Lepisosteus oculatus: one gene and its partner. The protein of the gene in region 1 purifies or fractionates together with the protein of each later gene. This does not show direct contact. Links are inferred from orthologs where the notes say so. Each region holds a gene or a part of one and is shown on either strand. Other genes may lie near its edges.

Evidence for each region.
Region 2: the proteins of ptpn12 (region 1) and pstpip2 purify together in Homo sapiens (affinity purification with mass spectrometry; 4 studies listed by BioGRID and IntAct, counting the BioPlex papers as one, with this or other methods). This does not show direct contact. The link is inferred for Lepisosteus oculatus from reciprocal best matches to the Homo sapiens genes PTPN12 and PSTPIP2.

The regions. Positions count from the first base shown.
Region 1 is NC_090702.1:34,023,840-34,033,722, reverse strand, and holds the start of ptpn12 (tyrosine-protein phosphatase non-receptor type 12), read right to left. Parts: upstream 4,407-9,883; 5' UTR 4,140-4,406; coding exon 4,041-4,139; intron 1-4,040. UniProt on the Homo sapiens protein: Dephosphorylates a range of proteins, and thereby regulates cellular signaling cascades. Dephosphorylates cellular tyrosine kinases, such as ERBB2 and PTK2B/PYK2, and thereby regulates signaling via ERBB2 and PTK2B/PYK2.
Region 2 is NC_090698.1:24,136,329-24,146,132, forward strand, and holds the start of pstpip2 (proline-serine-threonine phosphatase-interacting protein 2), read left to right. Parts: upstream 1-5,360; 5' UTR 5,361-5,563; coding exon 5,564-5,596; intron 5,597-9,804. UniProt on the Homo sapiens protein: Binds to F-actin. May be involved in regulation of the actin cytoskeleton.

The DNA of each region.
Region 1 (9,883 bases):
CAGTCTGGAAACCTGGGACTTAGAGAGTCTTCCCCAGTGCTGTCCTCAGAGTTACCCCCACCGACACTAAGTGCGTCCCCTTAGCTGGCCGAGTGGGGAGAACCACACAGGGACAGATCGGGGTCCCACTTTCAGCCCTCGCCGGAGGCGATGGGACCCCCTCCCGTCAGCAGCCCCTCTGTCCTGCTCCAGCTCTGCACCTCCTGCTATCATCTCGGGCCGCCACCCTTCTGTGTCATTAGGACCATCATGCACCTCTTCCGCCGTTCCACAGGAGCCCGCCTGTGTCAGTGGGACCATCATGCACCTCCGATGCCCGCTCCCCACCCTCCTCGTCTATTTCAACCTCTGCTCACTGCAGGATTAGGCCTCTCAGCACACAGACCCCCTCGCAGCTTCCGGACAAACCCACCTCTTCCATCTCCCTGATTCATCACTTCCCTGCTCCCAGAATTGACAAGCCGGCGGCCTAGCTGCACTACATTCCCATCATCATCATCATCATCATCATCATACGCCACATTATCCCATCGCTTAAATCTGCAGGCCAAAACACTCCACTGCTAACGCCTTCAAAACTGAAGCCTCCCATCCCTAAATCTGGGCACCTCCCGGGTGAGGCGGCGAGAGGAAGGTCCAGTCCATCTTGCCATCGACTGCGCTAGCAAACCGACGCTCTGGAAAGGCAGCCGCGCGAGCTCCTCGCAGTGGAGGCCTGCAGACGCCCGAGAGCACCCCCCCCCGCGCGAGAGGAAGTGCTTCACAGCCTCAGAGCTCGTTCAGGCCTTCACTCTCCCCAGGGTCTCTCATGAGCTGTCACATCATCTGGTGGTTATGCAGGTGGGACTTTTGTATAATCCAAGCTGTAGCAAGCTGAATTTGCACAGCCTGCAAAGAATAATAAAATGTTTCCCATTGTGATTCGCCCACATCACAGAAGCACCAGAGTCCGGTCAGACTTAACGTCACTGCTGCAATAACAGGTGACCATACAGCATTAGAACTTGGCTCCTGCAGAGAAACACAAAGTTCACAGAAGACAGCAGTCAAACTACTCGTTGCACACTGGAGACCCTTTTCCTCAGAAGGATAGAAGTCTCTTAAAACACGAAAGTGTTTTTAACTTCATTTTGACAGCAGAAATGTTAGAAGCACACTAGCCAACCCCAGTGCATAAAATTCACTCATGTCGCTATCCAAACATAAACAGTCTACCATTCTGCTGCGTGGCTATTTTTTAACATATGCAAAAAGTTTAAAACCACCAGGTCAATAAACAAACATTAGGTTCATCACCGTTTAATATGCGTAGGAAATATGCATTGGTCTAACTTTCCATTCAATTTCTTCACACATTCCCTAAAAAAAGATTTTTTTAAATAATTGCTACTAGAAAAAAACTTTAAATTCTGAACCTGTTTTTTCTAATTGTATTAGCATTTTAAAAATGTGTAAAGAATGAGCGATGGGCTCCGAACTACTCTTGGAGCTCAGGAAGGCATAAAACTTAAACGTTCACTGGACAAGAAAAACAAGATAGACTACTGAAGTCTTGAGAACAAAATAGCCTATCAAATTGTTTTAGACATGTGCCACAACAAAGCATGCCTTTAAGGACAGGAGCACTTTTACTTCTTTCCTCCCTTGTGACTCTAGAGCACTGGTAGATATATTACATCTAGGAAGAGACAGCAGACATTTCAATTACAGAATGACCCCTATCGCCCCCCCCCCCCCCCCAAGAAAAAAAAGCTTCACACCCTCGCAAGAAGCAGTCAAAAAACGACGAGGTAATTTCAGAAATTTTCTTAAGTTTTTTTTTAACAACGCCGTTGCCGGGCTGAAACCGAAATTAAGTGCTCTTTCTCATCTCTACCTTACAGCTGCTTCATTCACAGAGCGGTTCAACCCATCTTCCCATTTGCGCACAAAGCGTTATCTGTAATCTGTGAGCCCCTGAAGAGATGGCAGTCGGAAACATTCTGGATATCGATTTGAATCCTCTCAAACAGCGCTACTCGCTTAGCGTTTATTCCCTTTAATGACAGCTGAAAACCAACGGCGGCCTCTAAACCGGTCACTGTATCGGATTGTATTTATTTCTTTATACAATTCGTTCAGGCGGCGATAAGTGGTCAGTAGATGGAAAGTCTCAGAGAGAAAAAAAAAACAGAACAATAGTGCACAACCCAGGCTAAATGGACTGCGGAAAATGCACAGCAACATTAGTCAATGTCCCCTTTTATTTCCTTCCTAAACCTTAGCTCTTTAGTGTAAAAAAAAATCAACTTCCCACAATTTAAATATCCTGTTTATAGCAGGCAGGAATTTCTAGCGGTTTGCATGAAACAGCAAACCTGGGCTGGTACTGTCTAACGCCTCGGGGCACGTTTTTTTTTTTTACAGAAGCGATTACAGCTTCAGAGAAAATAAAACAAGCCACGCAATGGCCACCAATACGATATTAAACGCATAACACGGATCGACAATATTAACGGAGAAGAAGTAGGTTTTAAAAAGAGCAAAGTTAACAACAATAGTGAGGGCTGGGGAATAACCAAGATACTCTGCTTTTTATGGTCTTCCATCAGAAAATACCAGCCGGTGATTTCGAAAAAACAAAACAAAGATACAGAGCTGACTGGGACAAAATGTGCGCGTTGTTTAAGAAAGTTTTAATTTCGAACAAAAACGAGGTTTTCTATGGCTCATCTCCCGAATCCTTAACCCCACTTCCTTTTCCCTATCCGAGCTCGCACGCAGTGGATCCAACGCCCCAACTTCTTGCGCAACATCCGCAAACTCCCAGCATTTTTTTTCCCCCACTCAAAATCCCTGGTGACATTCATCTTTCTTGAATCACTTGCTCTGCTCCTAACCCTACTCCATCGACAAAGAGACAACGCATCTCGCTTGAGTCAACTGGGCCCAGTTTGAGCGAGCAAAAAACTCTCTTCTCTCAAAACAGCCTTCAAACCCGCCGGTGGGCTGACAGCACGCAAAGAAAGAGCAAGCACCCGAGGCAAGGGGATCTCAACATCGCCCGCTGAAGAGCCAACAAACTGCATCCTAGAGGAATATCAAAACACGGGCAGGAGGGAATCTCTTATTCCACCGATTCTGGCGAATGTGTTCGGACAACTACACGATCAAGTTGCAGCAATTACAAAGAATGCACAATGCATTATTCTTTCGTGTTCATCTCGGGTTACCCATCAGTAAAAAGCATAGCTGGGGTGGGGGTAAACTTTTTTTTTTCTCCTTAACTAGCAGCGCACATTCACCAAATTGTATAAATGTTAATATGTCTTCCAGCAAGTCAAAGTACTTAGCCTAGAAATACACCGTTTGCGGGGGGGGGACACAAGGTTGATCCACAGCGTGGGGTTGTGTCTGGATGTATTTTTCACAGGATGCTGCTGTCTGGCGTGGTTGAACCTCGCCTCCCCCACCCTCCGAGCCCCCCAGCTGCGCTGCGCCCACAGGAGCGGAGTTGGATCCTTTACCATCCGATACCTCGGTGTGCCTGCATGCAACAGCGCCGAAATAAAAGGGCTTCGGCGGTGTGAAGCCCCCCTACACTACCACCACCATCATCATCACCGCTGACGCATCCTCCTCCACCGCACGCTCAACGCCGTATTTCGCAAGCGGGCAACCATGGAAAGTGTGTCACGCCGCAAGTTTCGGCGTAGATGCCCCCCGAGCCCCCGGTGCGACCGTGGCTGCTGCGGACGCGGAAAGGGGAGCAGATTTCGGGAGCCGGGGGTTAGGCCGCGTCAAGAGCCTGGGAAGTACACTGGGAAGCCGAAGGGGGAAACGCGAGCAGCGGGGACAGGACGCCTCGGAGGGACTCCAGCACGTAAAATGCGCTCAGACCAGCTGTCATTTCAGCAGCACCGTGAGCCATTTAAAGGGTCGTTCTGATCTAACAGCAGTGGAGCTCCTTCGCTCCTGGGGCAGGGGGATGGGAGAGGGTGTGTGTCTGTGTGTGAGGGTGTGTGTGCGTGTGTGTGTGTGGGGGGGGGGTCTTCTCTCACCATGAAGTCACTGCCGAAGTTATCCTCTCCTCTCTGGTCCCTGCTCCGCATGGCCTGAACCCCTTGAATGAACTTCCTTAGGACAGCAGCCTGATCCATCCTCTCCAGATCCAGACAACGGCAGCTTTCCCACGAGAAACGAGTCCGCAGAACAAAAATAGAATAAATAATAAATAATGTAAAAAAAAAATCCACTGAGAATCACTTGCAAATCTTCATCGTCCCATATCTACGTTCTCCGCCCCCTAAAGAAAATAATCCAAATCGATGCGCTTTCTGGTGTATTATAAAATAAAACATGAACCACAGATCCACTTCTCCCGACCTCCTCTCTTCCACATTCACAACTAAACTCTAACAAAACTACCCCGCAGGACCGCCCAAAAGCCGCTATGAACCGTGCCCGCCCCCTCCGAAGCACGACTCTTTTCGATTGGCCCACAGCGCGGAAATATCGCCTATTGATTGGCGCATGTTGTGCGTCAGTCGAGGTGGCGACCCTGCGCTGTATTTTCTCTCCAAGGCTCTAAGTGGTTGGAGGCCACGCCAATCACCCCGTCAGGGGCTGCGCCGCGCTATTGGCTGCAGCTCCTGTCAGCCCCGTGGACAAACCCACCTGTGAGGTGACTGACTGGGGGGGGGGGAGAGCAGAAAACCTTTCTCACGGGCTGCGGGAGGGTTGTTTTTGTGAGAGAGGAGGAAAAAAAAGGCTCAGTGGAAGACTTCAGAACGCTTTCTTTCTTCGGGCTTGTGTGTTCAGCTCCAAGTGTTGTCTGCTGAATAGCTAAGTCGCGCGGAAAAGGGGGTTTCACAGTGTTCTCAGAGCCCGACACGAAAAGGGCATAACGTTTAGAAAGGTTCAAAATAAACCCTTTCCACTTCCAAGCTCGGTCATGTCGAGGTAGCTATATGAACACCAGTTGGGAAAACAAAATGAACATGCAAGTTAAGTAGATTGATTAAAAATAACGTTAATTTACCATAAATCAATAAACATGCAGTACACCGTCCTGGAGACGGAGCTTTGTGCTTCGCTTGTTTGGTGTCTGCAGCTCGCCACGTGGATCAGGCTCCTGAGCCGTGACGTGACAACCCCGCCCTGTCTCCCCAGTCGGAGTCGAGCTGCGGAGCATTCCTCTCGCCCGCTTTCGCGACTTCGACGGCACGTAGTTTGATTACGAAACGGGATATCGTTCGTTGCGCTCTCCCACCGTCTCTTTGTATGATGTGAGGGCTGGCGTTTCAAAGTTTGATAAATGGGTTGATTCCTTTTTTAATATTTTGTTGCAGAACATTGTTAATAGCGATCCTGAATGAATTGCAGTGAATCCAGTGTACATTAATCCACGTAGTAACCATTGAAGGAGTTGTTGATAAAAAAAAAAAGTTGTTTTGACGGCGGTTTCACAAAATCCCGATTAGCGACTTGGACTGCTTTATTTTAAATCCAGGACAGGTGATTTAGTTAATCTTGGTCATAGAAACCAGGCCTTGAGACTGTTGACACAGACTGCAATAAGAGTTACTCCTAGACTTGCTTCCTTAAATTAACATTAGATAACTGAAGAATCAATAAAAGAACATCATGCTAGGATATGTAGGTATAAGTACATAATTTAAATAAATGGATTTTCTATTAAAAGCATGTGATTTTCTACAGTTCATTACGTGTACGTTTGACGTTTGGTCACTATGGCACAGAAAAAGAATATTGCTGCCCTGGAATCAAGTCAAGGGAATGTCCTAAAAAACCTGAACCTTTTTGGTCTTAAACAGAGAAGACTATGAGATGACCTGATTAAATGATTCAAAATCCTCTCCCTTAATTCACAGTGCCTATGTAATAACAACTTAGAATGTAGCTGAAGTCTGGGTTTAACCAGGTGCTGATAAAATAGCTGTTACAACGCGCCTTCTTTATATTTCATGAGTTATGGTATTTGCCACAATAACTTTCCCAACTGTCTCCTAGATTTGTAGAACCAAGGTCATGTTTATGATAGATCATTTTAAATAACCTCATATATGAAACAGAAGCCGATGGAAATAAACATATTTAATACAACTATTGTAGAAAAATCTCTGAACAGCACAGCTTTCATGGTATTTTACTGTTGAATTGAATTTATAATTTCAACATCTCAAACAGCATTACAAGACAGTGGTGTATTATGGACTATACTTGACTATGATTAGACACTGCTTGCACATAGTGCTTAGCTGTAGGTTTTGCTAAGGTGTTTACAGGTATAAATATATTTAGGGTTAAAGAGAACACAGGAATTCCTGTTATTTCTTAACAACATGTCTCAATCTTTAAAGATCTCAAAAGGGAGTTTATCCAAACAAAGCTTCTTTTGTGCAGTCAATGTGTGCCTCCCCGGCTATCCAAATCCTGTGACGTGAGTGGTGTTCAAATGAACTCAGGCAACATTCTTGGCCTGCAAAGGTAACACAACCACATGGGTTACTGTTCCTCCTGTATCAGCTCCTCTGAACTTACCTTCATCCATTTAGTGCAACATGTCTAATCTGTCACAGCTACATATTGTAACGCTTCGGGGTTCAGGGCGCCCCTGCCACATCAGGTCGGCCCCCCACCGTCAGGAACTCAAACCCAGGCCTCCGGCATCACTCAACAGGGACCCAGCCTCTTGAGCCAAAGGGAAATCTCCCATCAGCCCAGCGGCTGCGGTCCCTGCTACCCACAGGGAAGGGCGGTGACGTCATTTCTCTGGTAAGCCAGCTCTCGCAAGCAATGGAGGCCGTATGCGTCACAATATGTTCTAGCTAACGTCAGATTTGCTTGTAGTCCACCTCGAAAGGAAATACATTGTAGGTAGTTAGTAGCTGCGGATCGTATATTAAGAAATCCAAAATAGGGGCTTTGGGGGTTGAAATAAGCGCATGAGCTCAGATCCTTTAAATTCAATAGGTCCTCCAATCAATATCACTTGAGTGGGATTTTCTTCCTTTTACAATGAATAAGATTCGGGGGGGGGGGAGAAATGGAACAGCTTCTGAGCCGAATGATTTTCACTTTTTTCATTCATGCTAGATTATTGAACAACGTTATTGTATTCTCCGTTTTCTCCCCGTGTTTACCAAGAATATTTGGCTGCTGGATGGTTATCATGAGACAAGCCTCCCTCCAGGGAAATAAGAGATACCCAGCTCACCCCTATGCTTCATTTATCATCTTCCCCCAGGGAAAGTGTTCTCGTCTTGTGACAACCCCCTCCACTCCTCAAGTGGGCTTCAGCGAAAGACAGAGGAGCACTGTCTAATGCTTGGGACAGTGTGCTAAAAAATAGATGTCTGAAGTGAGCGCATGAAAGGAGAATACAAAGCATAAATGCTGTAAGTCTCAGACCTTTATATGAAAACCTTTTAACATGTACTGTATTCTTCTTCTGGATCCTTCCAGTCTGTATTTGTAAAGTCGAAGGATCATTGGTTTCAGACCTAACAAAGAAACAGGCATCAAGAACATTTCAAAATGATACTTAATTGCGCATGTTCTCTCCTGTTCAAATGTACTAACTATGGGGCCCAAGGTAAGGACAGTATTCAGTTTCTAGAGGTGTATTCTTATTATTACAGAAGTGCAATACTTCATGTGATTCTCTGACAATTGCCAAACAAAAAAATGGTGTTTTAGAGACTTTTCTGGTCTGAGGTCTAAGCGCGCATTTGCTATATTGCAATTTTCTAGCAATCTGTAAACATGGGGAACTGTGTTAAATAGAGAAAATCCAAAAAGGGGGGGAGACCTGCTTTCTTTAACATTGCTAGAGTCTGCATAACATTCTCTCAGGGTGAATAAAATGGACTGTACATGGAAACCTAAACACCTAGCACATAAAATACCATATGCACCATATGCACATAAAATACCATGTGTGTGTGAGTCAGGTGATCATTGCATCATACTGAATCCAACATAAGTCCAGAGAATAGCTTCCAAGTGTATTCTGTGTCCTATACTGCTGCTGAAGGAATCAAACATATTCAGATTTGAACAGAGAGGAGTAGAAGGGGATCCAATCAACGGCACTGGCAAATCAACCAAGTGAAGAGCTTCAAAATGAACAGTGAAACACAATGCCAAGGACACAAGAGGAAACGATGTGAAGGGCATTTAAAGCTGAAAACAGGAGGCACTTCTTTATGCAAAAGGCTGCGGGAGTGTGGAACAGGCTACACACAGGGCCAGATTAAGGTGCATGCAGGCTACTGGCCCAAAAGACACAGGCACTGTGAGTCAATTTCTATTGGTAGATGGGTGATCAAAATGATCCTGAATATTTTTTCAGACAGTCTATTTGTGCTATATATATTCAATAACAGATCTTTGTTACAATTTGTATTGCACAAATGAAAAAAAAACATGGACAGAAGCTCGGGGTCAGACATTTATATGGCACGCCTGGAGCAGTTGGGGTTAAGGGCCTTGCTGAGGGACCTACCAGAGTAGGATTCCTCCACCAGCTGCAGGATATGAACCAGCAACCTTCCAGCCACAGGCATAGATCTTTAGCCACAGAGCCACTGCATCATCTCCCCAAGCATAACATATTTAAAAATGTACAAAGAATACATGTCCGTGAATCATGCTGCATGTAAGAGGACATTGGTTCTTCTCATATTTTTAAATTGAAAAAGCAAAGCAGAAAAATACAAATTTTTTTTAGTATGAAAGTTTTTCCTTCAGCAAAACTTTCTAATTTTCCCTCTTGCTTTACCATGCTTTCCCAATGAAAGCTTTCTTATGATTTGCACATACTTAGTTTTTGCACTGTATACCATTGTTAATTTGTTTGACAGCATGAAAGGCTCTTATTCTTACTCTTCCACATGACCCACATGTTTCTTCTGATATGAGAGTGAACAGTAGTGTTTAACAAAGTGGAATCTGTTTCATCATTACCAGGGATCGTTTTTGCTTGGCTTTCAGCTTAAGTTTCTCAGGGTTAGCTTCATGCTAGGCCAGACTGAAAAAAAGGGAAATCAGGGTGGAGATTTAAAAGCCCTGTTCTGTTTATCATGCCCATACTTGAAGTATCAAAGAAAACATGAGACACCGCTTATTATCCAGACTATCTTTGAGTACCCCCTCACCAGATACAGAACTGCTGGCGAAACCCAAACAAGCAGCTGTTATTTTGAGACTGAGAAACCGGGGTACGGCTTCCACCAGCAGTGTATTGTATAATTATGAATCACTATTCAAGATTTGTTCACAGGGCAGTTTATTATTTTTTCCAATTACATTAGCGTGTTTTGAAAGACAGCTGAAGCAAGTATTGACATTACAGAAATAATTCGCTGGTGTGGGCATGCAAAGTAATTCCTTGCTACAAAATCATTTTGTGTGCAAGTTCCGTGTGTTTCCCTAACACAGATTCTGAGTACACTGTTCTTTCTCAGGCAAACAAAAAACAGTCTGTTTCAACAAATTTTAGGTTCCCGACAAAATTCTCAAACCTGACCACAGGAATATGTGTCTCAGAAACAAGCTTCTGATGTGCTCTTCTTCAACTGCTACACACTTTCCATCTCTGACGTGAAGATAAAAAAAACAATTTTATGATGGAATTATTAGCAAGAAAGAGAAATGGTAATGCAAAAAAAGGCTTCTTAGGACACATAATTGGGTGATATTCATGAAATTCAATACTTAAAGACTATATCACTCATTCACAATATTTGCCAAATTGTCAATAAGTGATTACTGTCTTAACACACCACTTGTTAAGTTACAAACTTTTTCACAGCACAGAATGTAGTTGCTGTCCTTTATCTTATTGATGTGTTCTGGTTTTCTGGTAAAAACACTCTGT
Region 2 (9,804 bases), on another chromosome or scaffold:
TTTATAGAATTTACAGATACAATATTTACAGAATACATACAGCATACAATGTGAGAGTGTATATGTACATGCAATAGGTAAGTATATACAGATACATTGTGTATGTCTAAATATGCTAAAAGTTATTTAGTTAAAGGTTAAACAACTTCCCACATTGCTGGGAACTATCTTAGCATAATAAATTAAAGCATATAATTCAGTAGGTGTTTCTTAATTTATTGGTATCAAATAATCATTTTATTTAGTAAGATATCAGCATGTCTCCATAGATTTTTTCTTTATAATCTGAAAAAACACTCCAAAATCATACATCTTTCCTAAATAAATGGTAGAATAAACGACCATTTTCCCCTTTTAATATAGCATATCCATTGACAGTAGTCATCAAATGAAAATAATTTCAACAAACGGACCTTATTTCAATAATACAACCTTAAAAAGAAACTAATCAATTCCTAACCTGAGAACACTAAAGTTGTTCTCCTGTAAACTTCCTGTAAACATTGCAACAGAGATTTTGACACAGAACAGTTCTCATTTTCACTCATGGGAAGGCCTGCTGTCCTGTGGTTCAGGTATATCTATTCTATCCTATTACACCCTGGACTCAAATAGGTTGGTCATTGCTTTTCAGTTCTTTTGAATACACACCCTCTCCTGCATAATCTATCACATTAGGCATCGCTCAATACACTTGGTAATTTACTGTAAAACTAATATGTGCTTTACACCAGTAACCGTCCATGATAAAACTGGTGTTACTCAAGTTCCTCATGACATGCAGATTTCTCATCACGTCTTATTAGTATTCTTGAGTGAATATTTTGAATTGGTCATCTTTGTTAGATTTTCTGCATGTACTGTATCACTTATTCTTAGGAATTAGGGCAAAATGGTTTTCCCAACATTAATGCTAATAATTTATTCTCATCTTAAATCTGTCCTAAAAATTTAAAAGAATATAAAAATAAACACAACATTTTCTGGAATGAGAATACTATAGTTATAGCTTATGTACCTTCATAAAAAAGTCATCAATTTGTTTTAAGCCCTCTGACCAGCAATACAGCTTGTACAGTGAGGCATTGCAACTTGCCCATCACATGAAAGCTCGTTAGGTGTAATTTTACCCAATGAGGTCACCTTTAAAAAAGGCCTTAATTGAAAACTTAGGTCACTGCAAGAAAAAAGGACACACAGTAGTTTTTTGTGCATTCCATAATGCCTTGAATGTCACCAGAAGCAAGGGAGAGGGCCATTGGCATGCTGCAAGCAGGCATGTCATGTGCCAGTGTTGCCAGACACTATGGAGTAAGCTGCTCCACTGTGTCCCGGCTGAATAGAAGGTTTCAGCAGACGGGCAGGATAGATGACCATCCAAGATCCGGTCGCCCTCGAGTGACCACACCAGAGCAGGAGAGAGACATCAGACTGGTCCATCTGAGAGATCGTTTCAGATCTGCCACCCACACTGCTGCTGAAACTGCCAGCAGACACATTGCTTGCGTCAGTGACAGGACAGTGAGGCTCCATGCTGCTGGCCTTAGAGGAAGGCGACCTGTTAGAGCCCCTCTGCTCACATCTCCTAGATGACAGCCACCTGGCTTGGGCCAGACAGAGGCTGCGATGGACTCATCAGCAGTGGCAACAGATCCTCTTCATGGATGAGTCACTCTTCAGCCTGTTCCACATAGATGGGATAGGTGTGGAGTAGGAGATGTTGCATTTCTTTTTTCCATCAGTATAGATACAGCTATGCGCCGACAGTACTTTAGCTTTTTCTGCTATAGTATTTAAAGAAATGAAGGATGTTATACAATACTTTAACAAGAATCTACAAGCAGGTACTCTGGACTGGGGTCATACTAATTAGAAAAAAACAGTGTTATATCCATTTTAATCATATTTTCACAGATAACATGGATTTAGAAAGAGTATATCTTGTTTAACTGCATTACGGAATTTTTTTAACAAGCAATGTTAGCAGTGGTTACAATAAAAGCCTATGAAATACTACAATTCCATGGAGAAAAAGGTTTGTGAGCCCTCTAGTCTGGCTCATAGTCTCTTAGACTTAACATAATTACGTGGGCAGTGTGGTGGTGCAGTGGTTAGCATTACTGTCTCACAGTGGTAGGGCCTTTGGTTCAGTTCCAGACCTGGGGTGCTACCTGTGTGGAATTTGAGAGTTCTCTCCATGTTCATGTGGGGTTTTTCTGGGTGCTCTGGTTTCCTCTCAGAGTCCAAAACATACTGGTGGGTTAACTGGCTTCTAGGAATATTGGCCCCGTTGTGTGTATGTTTATATCTGTGTGTTCCGTACGATTAAATTGTATTCCATTCAGGGTTTATCTTGCTTTATACCCACTGATTACCAGGATAGGCTCTGGTTGCCCTGCAACCCTGAATTGGATAAAGTAGCTAGAAACTGTATGGATGGATAACCTGAAATCAATGTATAATGCAAAGACATAAGAAATGTGTGGATTATTTAATTAACAAAATTATTTTATAGAAAATATCCTAATGTGAATAAGTAAGTTATCACAGTAACTGGTGGCACCTCCTTGAGCAACATTAGACATTTCCTGCAACTTTTTATCAGTCTCTTGCATCAGTTTTCAGGAATGTTGGCCCATTTGTCCTTACATGCTTCAGGTCAGTGAAATTTGATGGTTTCTTTGCATGAAGAGTTTGCTTCCGACTCTACCCTAACATTTCATTGTGGTTTTAGATCCATACTTTGACATGCCCCATCCAAAATGCAAACTTTCTTCTTTTGCTATTGCTCGTTTGTTTAGGGGCATTTTCTTGCTGCATGACCTTATTTCGGCTCTGCTTCAGTTGACGAATGAATGACCTGTTATTCTGCTCTTTAATTTACTAAACATAAATATAGATATCGTGGTTCCATCGATGATTGCAAGCTGTCTGAATCCGGAGGCAACAAATCAGCCCCAAGCTATGAATTTTCCAACACGATGCTTAGATGGTCAGAATGAATTTCTTTTGTTGGAAGGAAGCTTTTTGGCCACACTGACACTGGCTACAGAGAGGCCTGCAGATCCCTAGATGTGACACTAGGATTCTTAAATTATTTAGCTGCTTGCTCTTGGGAAGATCTTGGCAGGATGACTGGTATTGGGTAACGACACCATTTGTTGACATCTGTCTGACAGCTGATGGATAGAGCTCCAAATGTATAGAAATTGCTTTATAACTCTGCCCAGACTGATCAGCATCAACTACTCTGTTTTTTTAAGTCCACTGAAATTTGAGGTTGTTCCACTAACTTGTTAAGGGCAGATCAAACTCCCAAAGTTTCTAGCCATTATACTGTATAAGACAAAGTTATCCAGACTCAGGCCTTTACTTATTTACTTATTACCCAATTATTCAATCACCTGATTGTAATTACCACGCGAAATGTGCAAAGTATACTATTGTTTTGCATTCACCGATTCTAAGTTACCATTATTTTCTCCATGCTGTTGCACAGAGAAAAAAAACGTTCAAATTAACATTAATGTAGAAAAATGCCGAATATTATATGTACTGTAGGCTCCTTCTCTGTCCTGTCCCTAGTTTCCTGTGGTTTCCTCTCTTTCCGGTGTCTCTCTCTCTGGGGTTATATATTTCCGGGTCACTTATTCTGTTTCGCTCAGCATTGACGTTCAGATGTCCTGAGACCCACCTAGCACCAGGTCGCTGCTCTGTCTGTGGCCTGAGGGCATAGGTTTCTATACGGCACTCCAGAACTCTTTGCACTGCTGAACCCGGGCTAACTCCCCGTTCCGCCACCTTTCATAGGGTCTTTTTCCGTTCTCCTGCCATTCCATGGTTCGTCCCTTCCAACATCCGTGACACTGGTTGGAATCCTGACTTAGCTGAATCCGGGGCTCGGAGCGCCTGGCCTCATCATTCCGTTTTTTACTTCATAGTCCCAGATCCTGTTCTTGTTTTTACTCTCGTCTCGTCTTGGATGGATCACCTGGTTTGGGATTTTGGACTGCTCCCGGATTTCCTACATTGGATTGTTTTTGGACTTGTTTGCCTGCTCTCCCCCATTGCACCTGATCACTGTCAGCACCGCCCCCTGTTCGCCATCCCTTCTACTCCTCACCGTGTTTTCCCTGTAGCCCTGCTCCAGCCACTTCCGTATTATACCATCTGCATAGGGTCCTAAATACACACTACACGGGACCGACTCCCGTGACACACATGACTATTAAGGATTGCACTAAGGGTTATGTTTCTCTGGAAAAAAACTACATGGAGTGTATAACAGAAGATCCTTATCTTGATTAATTCTTCTCTTCTATATATACACTGTCTCATCTTCTGGACATTCCTTTGGGTGTTTCTCTCACACTCCTCTCATCTCTCCATCTTCACCCTTGCAGCAGCTCTCTTGGAATATTATATTCCATGTAATATTAAAATGTAATTCCCTTTCCATTAGTGAACTACTGATACAATATATGAAGAAGAACAGGAAACAGAGAAAAAATAACAGAGACCCAAAGGGAAAGTCACGAATTTAAATGTAAAAGTCTATTTGTTCAGTACAGAAGATATTATGGTGATCTAGAAAAAAAAACATTACCAATAAAAGCCTTTATAAAGTTCTCATTTGTTTTCATATCCCCACATGCACAGTTATTTGCATTATGAAACAATTTAAAAACGATATATAAATGGGGAAAATGTAAGGGATGGGAAAGTAGGAGTAACAATACCTTGATAGAGAAGTGCAGTGTCATGCCAGCACTGTGTACTTTGATACCTTTTTGTTACCCAGTCACGTTTGACTTCATCTGCTGTCAGTACATCAAAACTATTATCTTGTAGAATGCAGATAAACTCTCAAATTGTTTTTGTAAAATAATAAATATATTATGATTTTCAGATTTGATACCAAAAATATTTTGAGGTAAAGGTTTGGATGTGGCATGGAACAGATTTTTACAAAAATAGTATTACACTTCATTCTTTAACTGTTATTAATATGAAACACTTCAAGAGTAAATAACATGCGTTTTGTTTGACTCACAGGGTGGACATATTCTTTGTAAGTAACTATATTCAAATTTCTCTATAAAAATTCTACAAGGAGCTCAGCATTTATGTAAAATTAACAATTAATTCCTTAGATGTACTTAAAACTCTGAATCTGATCAATTAGAACTTGGTTAAGAAAAAAATAGCTTTAACCTGTTCTCGAGAATCACTGTGAAGCCTAACTGTATGCAAGAGTTTTGAATATGGGTTTCTAATTTAAGAAATTGCGTGTCGGTGTGCCATCACTATTATTAACTACTGCTGTGACGGACTTTAGGACCCGGAAATACGGTTTAAAAAGAAAACAGTTTGAGGAACTACTGCTACAGTAAGAGCTCACTCCTTAAACGGAGCAGAAATATTTCCTTGGCTGTGATATTAAAATCCTATTCCCTTTGCATTGTTACATAAAAGGGAACTGTAACGGCTACTGTTACATAAAAGGAAACACATACATGAAAAGATACAAGAGTTACCTTTTTCTTTTGACATCTAAATCAAAATGAAAGAATTACACTTTAAAGGCAATTTCTGGGTAAGTGGATTTATGTTCTTTACTTAAACCCAAATGACTGTCGATTCTGTAATACTTTTGTCAAGCACTTTATTGCACTTTAAAATGTGTTGCCAAGTTGACCAGTCGGGAAATGATTTGGCAGTTGACCTCTGCGTACGTTCAGTTAATGAAACTGAAGGTGAAAAGAAAATTGTGATTTATTATTTCTAATTTCTAATGATATCGGCGAAAGAAAGCTTTTATGCATTTTCTTCAGTAAATATGCAAAACCTATTAACCTGCTTGAAACATATTCGTATGTGTTTGTTCCATATTACTTTTTGTGGGACTTTATTTAAAAGTCTGGCGCTTTTATTCACAGATTCTATATAGATTATATGTATTTGATATTATTTAACATCCTCCTCTAAAATTGCATATAGAAATAATTTGCTGCTCACCGTCTTGCTTGTTTCTGTTTTGTGCCCGGAGCTAATGATTCAGCTTGAAAATATTTTTCTTTATGGAGCTGGCACACAACGAGAGAAGATAATCTGTCTGCTGGAGTTGCTGAAATGTTACTGTAGATTGGGAAAAGGTAGATACAACACTCTAGGATCCTTTACCAAATTCTTCACTTCGCCTCGCTCACTTCTCACTTCACATTGCACAAACCTTACACTTCACGAACAAGGTGACCTGGAGTTTGAAATTATGACCCGCATATGCAACAAGGCTATTGCAGAGAGACATGAAAGGAAAACACGGTTTAGGTAATACCAAATCACAACTGTCTTACATCCTTTAAAAAGGTCATTTTATACAGTATATTCAGTATCCAACAGTGTTCCAATCCTAAATATGCCCATACGAGTCTTTTATTTATGTTTTATCTTTTTCTTAGTAATTAACTTTCTAGGTATAACCCAAGCCTTTATTCTCATCATTTAACTGTTCACGTTTACTGATGAAAAATTTAATGTATCACTCACATGCCTATTTTTTGCAGCTCATTTGCTTCATAGTAATTAGTAGAATTAATTATTTTGCAATTGTAACACATGTGGATTTTCATGGACTGCACAGCGGGTAGTACTGTTGCTTCACAGCTCCAAAATTTTGGGTTGAAGTCTAAATCCATGTGTGTGGAGTTTGCATGTTCACCACTGCTTTGTGTGGGCTAACTCCAGTTTCCTCCCACATGTTGTTCAAGTCAATTGGCTCCCTCCGTCGTGTAATTTCAATCTGATGGGTTAGACTCTAACTCATTGTGATTCTTTAAGGAACTTCACATTAGAACCATGGTAAGAGGGTAATTGCTGACAGGGTATGGTAAGTTACAGTGATGTAAATGGCTTTAGATCTGACATAATACATTTTATTATAAATATCTTGCATACGTAATGCATGGAGCTGTGCTCAGCAGCTATATCACCCTGTAACTCAACCTTGTAATGGCAGCCCACTGAAGCTCAGCAGGTGTGGGCCTGACCAGTATCTGGATGGAGACCTGGAAAAGCTAAGGTTGCTCCTGGAAGAGGTGTTAGTGGGGCCAGTAGGTGGCGCTCACCCTGCGCTCTGTGTGGGTCCTAATGCCCCAGTATAGTGTAACACTACTACTACTATACTGGAAAAAGGGTGCCATCCTTCGAATGAGACATAAAACCAACTGACTCTTTGTGGTCCTTAAAAATCCAAAGGTGTTTCTCAAAAAGAGTAGGGGTGTTACCGTGGTGTTCTGGCCAAGTTTCTCATTGGCCTTTACCAGTCATGGCCTCCTAATAATCCCCATCTATGAATTGGCTTCATTACTCTGATCTCCTCCCCACTGATAGCTGATGTGTGATGAGGCACTGGTGCACAACGGCTGCAGGTGGGTGCTGCACATTGGTGGTGGGGGTATGTGCTCATTACCTCGAAAGTGCTTTGAGTGGTGTGCCCAGAAAAGCGCTATATAAACAGAAGGATTATCTTATATTAAAGCTGGATTTGATTGGACAGTTGACAATCCCCGTCCCCAAGAGACCAAGATGTGTCCCAGAGTAGAAATCGAAACAATCTAGTTTTCAAGGGGACGACATCACTTCTGTAACACAGTCACCGCACTGAGTCCTAATACACTTCCACACAATGCTTTACGTGCATGAATGGACCCCCTTCATTCACTGAAGTGCACCACCATGTGTGACTGCACAGCAGGTCAGGTGGAGAAGTGAGAAGTGACTTTGCCAATTAAATTCAAGGGGAATGTTAAGAATGCCGCAATGACATCTTAAAAGGCAAGTACTCTGGACCTTGGTTCAGTGTCTCATGTAAAGGACAGCACCACCTACCACACAGTGTCCTTGTCCACCAGTTTTGGAGTACTGGTTTGGAAATTTTGAACAAAAAGGAAGAGTGCTACTGTACCCCCTAGTCCAGCAGCTTTACTTAAAGCAGCAAAAATCAGGTGCAGCTTTGGTTTGCTTCTGACATACTGTATGTTGAGTTCAGGCTAGAAGGTGGTAACACAGTTTATGTGTACACATTAGTATTTTTATCAGTATGTTATGTGTCTACCAGTTCTTATGTAACATAATTTCTACTCGAGCACCTCTATAACTGTTCACAACTATAGATTTATTAACAGTCTACTTCTTTAAGTAGTACAAGTTACCTTACAAATACAGCAATCTGAAACCTCTAAAAGATTATATCAAATACACTACACAGAAAAGGAAACTACACAATGAAATCTTGAACAAGTTAATGTTTCACGTTCTGTAAACATGAGATAGGGCTTATTCTCTAGTTTAGGCACTATTGACCCCTTTTTTACTTTTAAGGAACAAATATTTCTGGCCTCATTTCTTCTACATTTTAACCCCACTTCAGGTTCTGTACATGTTATAATTTATGAGGACTGGAATCTGATTTAACAATTTCCATGGGTTCTGCTGAGCATTACCGAAATAGCCAATTTAAAAATATCAACAAAGTACCGTTCCAAAATATTACAAGGTAAAGCGATGGAATACTGATGTGCTGTTGCTCAGCCTTTTGGACTGCAAAAAAAAATTAAATAGAAGTAAACATTAAGAGTAAAAGTCATCATGTTTCACTGGACATCTTAGATTTCAGTTCTCATTTCTTCATGTTGTTTGCTAGATGTAAGTTTTGTTTTCCAAATTGGATTTGTTTTCTTTATTATATTCATATTAACAAAATTGTTGAAGATTGGAAAGAAAATTATATGTCTAATGCGGTACACACGGTATTTATTCGGATTTAGAAAAGTACTAACTCATGTAAAAAAGTACATATCATCAGGAAGGCATTGTTTGGTAATACTTTTAAGGGTGCTCTAAATCACAATTTCTAAGTGTATAACAGTTATCAACAATGAAGTAGCCATTAATAAAGTACTATATGTATAACTGACAAATACAGGTCTTCAGATTAAAACTATACCATCAATTATTAGTGAGGGTCACTTATTATTATTACTCTTATTATTGTGAGTTTATTCACATTGTATTAATATTCCTGTCTTGTCTTATGAATTATGAGGGTTTTATTCATGAATTCACTATGACCCTACTAAAGTGTTACTGTTTTAAAACCCTAAGTGTTTATAGAGTCTTGTTCTTAAGTAGCTAGTTCAGTAATCAAAAAATTCAAAAAAACACCAGTACTCATCTTGTATGTTTGACAAAGGCAGTAAAGGTATTGCAAATGTATGTAAATGTTTGAAAAAGTAACGGACTTTGTCAAAGTGCATAAAAAAGAACTAGCATACTGCGGTGTTGGGTAGCATGGTGACGCAGTAGTTAGCATTGCTGCCTCAAAGTGCTGGTTCCTTGGGTTTAGTTCCGGACTTTGGTGCTGTCTGTTTGGAATTTGTGTGTTTTCCCCATGTGTGTGTGTTTCCTTCCAGAGTCCAGAAACATACTGGTGGGCTAATTGGCTTCTGGGAAAAATTGGCCCTGATATGGATGTGAGTGTGTTGTGTCTGTCCTGCGATGAACTGGTGTCCCGTCCAGGGTGTACTCTGCCATGTGCCTGTTTCTTGTCACAATAGGCTCTGGATCCCCAACAAACCAATATAGGATAGTTCACCCCCTGACCCTAGTATAGGAATTCAAAATGTACTGCTCGATACAATTACAGGTCTCTTTATTTTGCAGAAAAGATGGCTTGCACACTTTTATACCAATTATATTCTTATGGAAGGGATGTTGTTCTACTCTGCTAGGCAAGTTACCCTA